Linked DNA regions of Daphnia pulex. The protein of the gene in region 2 purifies or fractionates together with the protein of the main gene of each other region. This does not show direct contact. Links are inferred from orthologs where the notes say so. Each region holds a gene or a part of one and is shown on either strand. Other genes may lie near its edges.

Evidence for each region.
Region 1: the proteins of evolutionarily conserved signaling intermediate in Toll pathway, mitochondrial-like (region 2) and RPII140-upstream gene protein-like purify together in Homo sapiens (affinity purification with mass spectrometry; 3 studies listed by BioGRID and IntAct, counting the BioPlex papers as one, with this or other methods). This does not show direct contact. The link is inferred for Daphnia pulex from reciprocal best matches to the Homo sapiens genes ECSIT and TIMMDC1.

Annotation. Positions count from the first base shown.
Region 1 is NC_060022.1:3,771,538-3,775,575, reverse strand, and holds RPII140-upstream gene protein-like, read right to left. Parts: upstream 2,548-4,038; 5' UTR 2,450-2,547; coding exon 2,271-2,449; intron 2,209-2,270; coding exon 2,043-2,208; intron 1,978-2,042; coding exon 1,889-1,977; intron 1,826-1,888; coding exon 1,749-1,825; intron 1,685-1,748; coding exon 1,513-1,684; intron 1,445-1,512; coding exon 1,267-1,444; 3' UTR 1,264-1,266; intron 1,171-1,263; exon of another isoform or gene 977-1,170; 3' UTR 972-976; coding exon of another isoform or gene 819-971; 3' UTR 762-818; downstream 1-761. Other genes in the region: twinfilin-like, read left to right, coding at 1-28, 114-351, 412-555, 626-747, 819-971.
Region 2 is NC_060018.1:6,887,251-6,891,199, forward strand, and holds evolutionarily conserved signaling intermediate in Toll pathway, mitochondrial-like, read right to left. Parts: upstream 2,392-3,949; 5' UTR 2,239-2,391; coding exon 1,788-2,238; intron 1,726-1,787; coding exon 1,273-1,725; intron 1,198-1,272; coding exon 1,104-1,197; intron 1,033-1,103; coding exon 902-1,032; intron 832-901; coding exon 755-831; 3' UTR 714-754; downstream 1-713. Other genes in the region: probable flavin-containing monoamine oxidase A, read left to right, coding at 1-152, 227-661; COP9 signalosome complex subunit 3-like, read left to right, coding at 2,743-2,797, 2,876-3,148, 3,209-3,426, 3,493-3,687, 3,757-3,949.

The DNA.
Region 1 (4,038 bases), on a different chromosome or scaffold from region 2:
TAAAGAAGACATCCTAGGAACACTTCCAGTCAGAATATAATTCATAAACACATTACGTGAATATTTAGTATTCAAAAATAATGTAAAAAAAAAAAAACGTGTTTTCTTCATAGGAGGATTTGACACTTAAGGGCTATCTCAAGCAAAAGAAAAATGCGGCGGCTCCTGCTCCTTTGACTCAGGCTGAGGAAGAGTTGGCTTTGGTTAAGCGGACTGAAACCAACGCGCACATTGGTTACGACTCAAAGCATCAGACACTCAGTGGCGTAGCCTTCCCTATCTCAGAGGCTGGACTAAAAGCAATGATTGATTTTAAGCACAAAAACCATTCTTACATCCAGCTGAGCATTGGTCAGTAAACATCGCGCATAAGTGTGTTGTGCAATATTTACTTAATTTTATTTTTTTAAGATATGGCGAAAGAAGTTGTCAATCTTGAAAGCACGGACCAGATTAACGTCCACACCTTGGGCAGTCGAGTACCAGATGATCATGGCCGGTATCACCTCTTCCGTTTTCCGCACTCACACGAAGGCGATTTCCTTGAGAGCATAGGTTAGAATATTGTTTTACAAAGATATTAATTTTCAATTGAAATGCCATATCTTTACTTTATTTTCACCAGTTTTTATCTATTCTATGCCTGGCTACGCATGCTCGATTCGTGAGCGGATGCTCTACTCTAGTTGTAAAGGACCTATCACAGATTTGATTGAAAACAAACTTCTCATCACAATCGACAAAAAAGTAAATCAGTGCACTTTTTCATTCATTGCTTTACTTTATTGACTGAGTTTGAATAATCTATAAAACTCCAGATCGAAGTTGAAAAAGGAGATGAGTTAACTGAAGAATTCGTGATGGATGAGTTGCATCCGAAGAAAAATCTTCATCAACCAAAATTTGAGAAACCCAAAGGTCCTCCTGGTAGAGGTGCGCGTCGCCTGACGAGCCAAAAGCCGCAAGAATAACGTATCTGATTGGTATGATTATAAAACAAAATACCCAATATTTTAAAATTTTCTTTTGAAGATAAAGTGTGAAAGCAATGGGCATCGGTTATACGCAAGTGCCTAGTTTATAGATTCGTTTCCTATCCAGTGGTATTTAAGATCATACAAGCTGTTTGTGAAATTTGATGTGTGAAAAAAATAAATGAATAAAACCATACGAAATTTTAATTCAAATCGATTATAAGTGAAAAATAACGGCATTTATCAACGACTAATTTATTTATATATAAAGATCCACTTTTAGAATTACCATTCAGCTGGTTTCCGATTGCAATGCTTTCTGTTCGCTCACTGTATTTGGAGTCTTCTCGTTTTCTTCGTCGCTTTCGTTGGATTCATTCAAGTGTGCTTTCATCGCCACACTCAAATCGTGCATAATTCCCATTGTTCCCAAGGTTTCCTTTCGTTTAGGATTTCCGACTGTAACTTCTCTGTAAAAATCATGTTTTTCCCCTTTAAAAATAATCTTGAGAATGTTTAATGATTAACAGTTTAGTACCTATTTTGGGACTCTTTCCACCCTTTTCTCCAATAACGCAATTCTTCAGTTGTTGTGCCAGTCAACTTCAGTAATCCAACTGTAACGGCACCAGCTACAGTGCCCAAAACTCCTCCTGCAAGACCACCTGCCACCATCGCTTTTGGACCCATTGTGAATTTGTACATGGAACCTGTAAATATCTTTTATTAGATTAAGATATAACTAAACAATATCGCAATCTAATTAGGTCCTACCTGCCAATAGCCCGCCGGCTGAAAATTCAAATATGCTCGACTTATTCCGGTATGTTGAAACAGCTGTGGTAAAAAACCTATTGATTGGATAAATGTAACTTCAACTCCTGATTGTAAAAAAAAATGTATAAAGTACTAACGTGAAACCTCCTGTAAAAAGAGCAAGCCTCCATCCTACTCTCCAGCCTCCTACAGCCATTGCTCTAGTAACATTGAACTGCAGCTTGCTCTGCAATGGATGGGATTTTTATTATTTTAGTACTTTGATTTATTTAACCTTGAAGGCCCACTTACCTTGGCTTCTATATGATTCTCAAATGTGGATGCTTTATTTCTTGTTATGAAATCCTCATGTGCTAACTTTGATGCAGGAATTCCACCAATAATCATTCCTGCTAATAAACCTCCAGCTGCTGCAGCAAAAGTACTGTCAAGTTCAGGACTAACGGAATTGAATTCACTATCCAATGAAAAAGATTAAGTAATTAGTGAAAACGACGAAAACATATTAAATGGAAATACTCGGTTTTAAATATGGCCTTCAGCCGATCCCAACCGGTCTCATTTTCAGCTGTTCTTCGTGCTTCTTCCGCTAGCTTTTGCGCAGATAGGGATGTGGGATCAATAATGTCATTATTTGACAATATTTCCACACCAAAAATGCTAAGTCCTAGCCGAATCGGTATTTTTCTTCTCCACATTTTTTAAAATAATTTGTGTTTAACAAATGCTTTTCTAGCAGACGGTTATCAACTTATCATGGTGTTTTGATTCGTGATTCCATCTGATTCCACCGGTGCAATGCAGAGCGCACGATTATCTGATTATAAAAAATAAACATTTTATATTTCGGAAAAGTCAGCCAAATAAAAAATTTCGTAGCGATCTTCACACAAAATTATGGAACAATAACAAACTATAAATAACATTTTTTACAGCTAAATCATTGGCAACCCCTTCAACATTTCAGCAGAAGACCTGAATGTTTTCAAAACACCATATCCAAATGTCATCGCAGAAAGCATTTTAATAAAAAAGTTATTTTTTTCATAAACTGAACATGGATGTCCTCAGAACTAGTTTGTTGAAGACTTACTCTTCAATTGAAATACATAGACTTAAATGGAACGAAATTCTACAAGGGTTTGAATCGTCACTTAAGGTCATGTCAGGATTAAGTGATCAGCTAGAGTGTGTACTGAAAACGGAACCATGCGAGCTTTCGAGAAAATTTCCCGATTTAAACGGCAGACTGGAACAAATCATCAGGGCCTTAATGGAAGAAGAGATGATTACTATGGTACTTTTGCTGTAAGAAAAATTGCAACGTTTTTATTGTGATTCAAATTAACAATTTCTGATGCATTAGAGAAGAGCTCAACCAGGAAAATCAACGAATAAAAAATATTTGTGAAGTTACATATAAACTTTATGTGGAAGACTTTGATAAAATTCAAGCTGACACAACATTCTATGAAGGAACTTCTCTTTATCCTCCAGTCAGTTTGATGATAGAGTGGATGGATGAGATCAACATGTGCTATGCCAACAGGTACAAACTATCTTGAGTAACGATTGAATTTTGCTGCATTCAACTTACTATTATTTTCTTGTTTTGTGGTTATAGACTGATCAATGCAAAGCATTTGTTGGAGATTTTTAATTATTCGTCCCAATCTGTGACCAACTTGCAGAATATGTTAGATCCCAAGACCAATTTTTCTACAGTTGATGCTATAATGGCAAAAATGTCCATTTTTCTTCTTGAAAAATAATACATTTTTACATTTTTAACATAACATATGACTTCATGCACATACTTTTCATCTCACTCCATGTATATATCATTTCATAAACCTAATTTTTTAATGTATGTCTTCTTCTCTTCTAGTTTTCCGATAGGGACTTCGTCGCATTCACCATATACAAATACCAAGAAATTTTTCACCCGCCTATTTCCCATATCCCACACACCCACTGTGGCGCCTCTCACGAAGTGTCAAGGTCGGGAACACTTCCAGAGAAAAAAGACATGACTATCGAGTATCGATTTACCTGGGAACGATGAGGATCAACGAAGAAATCTACGTATCTAGCCTTTTTTTTTTTTTTTTTAGTACAGACCAAAGAGATAAAAGAGTTACAGACCCTTAGTTTTTCTTCTCATTGTCTCTTAGGATTAGGGTATTTAGGGTTTATTTAATTAATTTTTTTCCCCTTCTCAAAAAGTGGCAGCCCTGGGTAGTTGCTTAGAAAGTGTCGTCTGCTTAGTGTTTTCGTTCAGTTTAAA
Region 2 (3,949 bases):
CCGGTGAGGTCGTGAGTAACGGCGGAGGACCTTTGTTAGGGTGCTCCACGGGCCCACTTAGCATCGTTTATGATGCTACCAATGATAAAAACATACCTGCTCTCGTAGGATTTATAGCCGGAAGGCCAGGAGTTGAATGGCACCGTCAAACGGTATGACCAATGTTCAATTTGTACATCTTTTTCGAAATAACACAACGTGTTCTACAATTAAAATGTGAATTTAGGCAGCGGAACGTCGTTCGGCAGTTCTGAATAGTCTTTCCGATTGTTTTGGACCATGGGCGTTGCAACCGACGAGCTTCACTGAGAAAATATGGGCCGATGAAGAATACAACGGAGGTTGTCCAGTCTCTTTCGGCGTTCCTGGAATCATGTTCACATTCGGTATTCTCCGTCGTCCGCATGGTCGAATTCACTGGTGCGGGACTGAAACATCTACACACTGGGCTGGATATTTAAGTGGAGCGGTGCAGTCTGGAAGACGTGCAGCTTCCGAAGTGATGAAACTTAGAGGTAAGAACGTCATCGAATTGGAGAAGCTAGCCTTTCGAAAACCATATGCAGACCAAAGTCCACCATATTCTTTACCCAATTTATTGACTCCTGTGATTGTTGTATTTGCCATCGCTACAGCTTTCATCGCTGTTTATTTCCTATAATTTCTAGTTTTTCTTTCCAAAATTTGCAGGAAAAGTGAATTAGATGGAAATGTGTTATTCAAAACTATTATTTTACTGATCATATACATTTATTTACAAATCAGAACCTCCTGTGATTTTATTTAGTGGTTGAGATGGCATATTACTTTCGATAGCTGGTGCAACTTCACCTATTAAAAAAGAGAAAAATTTGTCATGTTGTAAAAAATAAAGCTGAATATAAAATAAGTGGTACCATACCTAAGGGGGAGTTAGTAGCAAACAGGATACTCAAATTAGCTAGGTTTGGATTTGTTTTCTCTAAAAATCGGATCCAAGAAAGAAGGGAATCTTTTGAGCATGTCCCAGTGATAGCTATAGCAAGGATTGTCCTTGAAAAAATTTAAAAAAAAAGTATTTATCTCATAATCAACACATTTGATGAAGATTAATATTTGTTTACCCATCTTCTTGTTCATGAACTGAAGGTTGAACAACGATATCTTTCCGAGTAAGATTTTCTTCCCCAAACATCCACGAACGCAGTTCACTTACATCTTGAACAAATCGAAGAATAAAATTAGAAAACTAGAATGAAGAAAATTGAAACTAAACTGTTTCAGTACACATACCATCATAATCATATTCATTCTGCTGTTTCTGCTCTTCTTCCGTTAACGGAACAGGTTCAGAACGCAAAATAAAGTAATTTATACTGGTTCTTCTTAACCAAATTGTGAAAGCGCCTTCAACGTAGACGGTTTGCTTTTCTTTGAGTTTGGCTAAAAGGTCTCTTTGATTGGCGCTTTGACCATTGACGATCCAAGTATCGTCAATGGCGTCTTGCAACTCACTAGTCTGAAAAATGTTCATCTCTGTAGCTGGATCAACACTACCCATTCTCTGGACAGCAAGTTTTGCTATTTCAAGATTTGAGTTAGGAATCTTTTGGGGGAGTGCCCATGGAGATTGGTTTTTAAACTTAGGCATCCAATAAGCCATCCTTCTAAGTTTTTTGGTGGGAGCTCCATGGCGACCAAAAATATTAAGAACCATTTGGTCAGTTTCTTTATCTGGACAAACACCTAAAAATGAAATAAAAACACATAAAATAATTTAAACTGATTTGAGGCAAAGATATTCTAACCATTGTTTTCCATCTGTTCCAGAACATCTATTATACATTGCTGTTGTTTTGGATAATGCATAAATTCTGCTTGAAACATATTTGTTGGAATATATTTTCCCTTTGGTAATATATCAATGATGTCTTTATATGCTTCCAGGTCACGATGCACACCAAATTCTTCCATTTCCTTCAGAGCAGCATAGATGAATTCCACTTGTGCCCTACGGGGCCCTGGTCTTGTTGTGTAAATTTTTACAGCTTCTAAGAATGTGTCTTTATTTCTATCTCCTTCTGGAACATAAAACATAGAAGGTCTAACAATCAGTTCGTTGGGTTCTTTATTTTTAAAATGAAGACTATTTATATGAATGTGACGGATCTGTAAGCATGGCAGTAGCTTGCAATTATGAACTTGAGGTAAGGCTCTTTGGAGAATTCGATTCAAACTTAAACCAAATTTTACTGCCATTATAATACTAATGGCTATTCAAAGCAGGAAAATAATCAACAAAATTCGAACTATTTGTAAAAATACCAGAAATACATAGAATTGTCACAACAAATTCAAGAGTAGGCGAAAATGGGATTTGTTATTGTTTTTTTCCTCTTTCAACTTTTAACGTCTGCTAAAATTTCAACTTCATTGATGATAGATGGCAGGGATTCATAAAAAAAGTTTCTTATTTGATTAAAAACTTGATTACTTTCGATTATTCATCATCAAATTAGAATAAAATTAAATCGCGGTTATTTCGCTTATAATTATGTTCATTTTGTTTTTAAATTATTCAGTAAAAGTGTTTGTGTGATCCTGCCGCCACCCGCCAGTGGTGCTACTTGCATCTACGAATATACCCTCTATTGGCGCGTTTATCAACGAATAAAGACAACTGCAGACGACGTTTGCTGGCTCATCCAAATATTTCTCTCTTCAATTCAATATCTTTCAATCTAATATTCTTCAAATTTGAATATGGCGTCATCCCTAGAACATTTTGTAAATTCTGTTCGTAATCTCTCTGGCGAAGGTTTGTTTTGAACGACAGTTGTATTTCATAATTTGTGGACACTAAAAATATTCAATTTTCTATGTATCAAACTGATAGGAAGCTGGCGAGAACTATATGATTTTCTCGGCAAGTCGCCCGACGTACTCATGAGGAATTCCGAACATTTAGACACTGTTCTGGATACTCTTGACCCACAACTTCACAGTCTAGGTGTTTTGGCAATTTACATGGTAAAGTTCATGATTCTCAACCAAAATGCAGCTCAAAATCAAGGAATTCAAGTTCCAGAACCCGAAGTGCTCATCAGTCAAGTCAGTCAGTTCATCACAGTTTGCAATGGTGAACAAATTCGCTGTGCTCCTGACTCATGTAAGCTTCTAATATTGCACTCTTACAATTGAATAATTCATAATAAATTGTTCTGTGCAGTCGCTGAGCTGTGTAACCAGTTTACCCAATGCCTAGTGGAACGAGAGACACCTGCCAGGGGTATTGTTCCCCTTACCAAAGCTATTCGGAAAGCCAGAATGAATGAAACACAGCTGACGTCTATCCACGCTAGCCTTCTCCAACTCTGTTTGATGGCACAGAATTTAAAACCTGCCTTGGAGTTTTTGAATGTTGAGATTTCTGAAATCAATTCAGAGGTAAATTGCTTTTTCAGGTTCTAGTGCACTGATTACAGAAAATTCTAATGACAAATGTGTTTGTAGAATGGATATTTTGATGCCAAGCATTTCTTGCTCTACTACTACTATGGGGGAGTTATCAACATGGCTGTCAAAAACTTTGAGCGAGCCCTGTATTCATTCGAAGTAGCTTTGACGACACCATCTTCAGCCGTATCTCACATCATGCTGGAATCGTACAAAAAGTACATTCTCGTCTCACTCATTCTTCATGGAAAGGTATGGATCAAATAGTCGCGCAATGTTCGTTCAATTTCCGATTCACATTGTCATTTGAAACGAGACTAGGTGGCACCTCTTCCCAAATACACATCTCAAGTGGTTAATCGGCTCCTGAAACCCATGAGCGCCATCTACCACGAAATCACGACGGTATTTGCTACCAACAAGCCGACGTCACTGGAACTTGTCCTCCAAAAGCACCGAGAATTGTTACAGCGTGAAAATAACTGGGGTCTGGCCAAACAAGTACAACAATCGC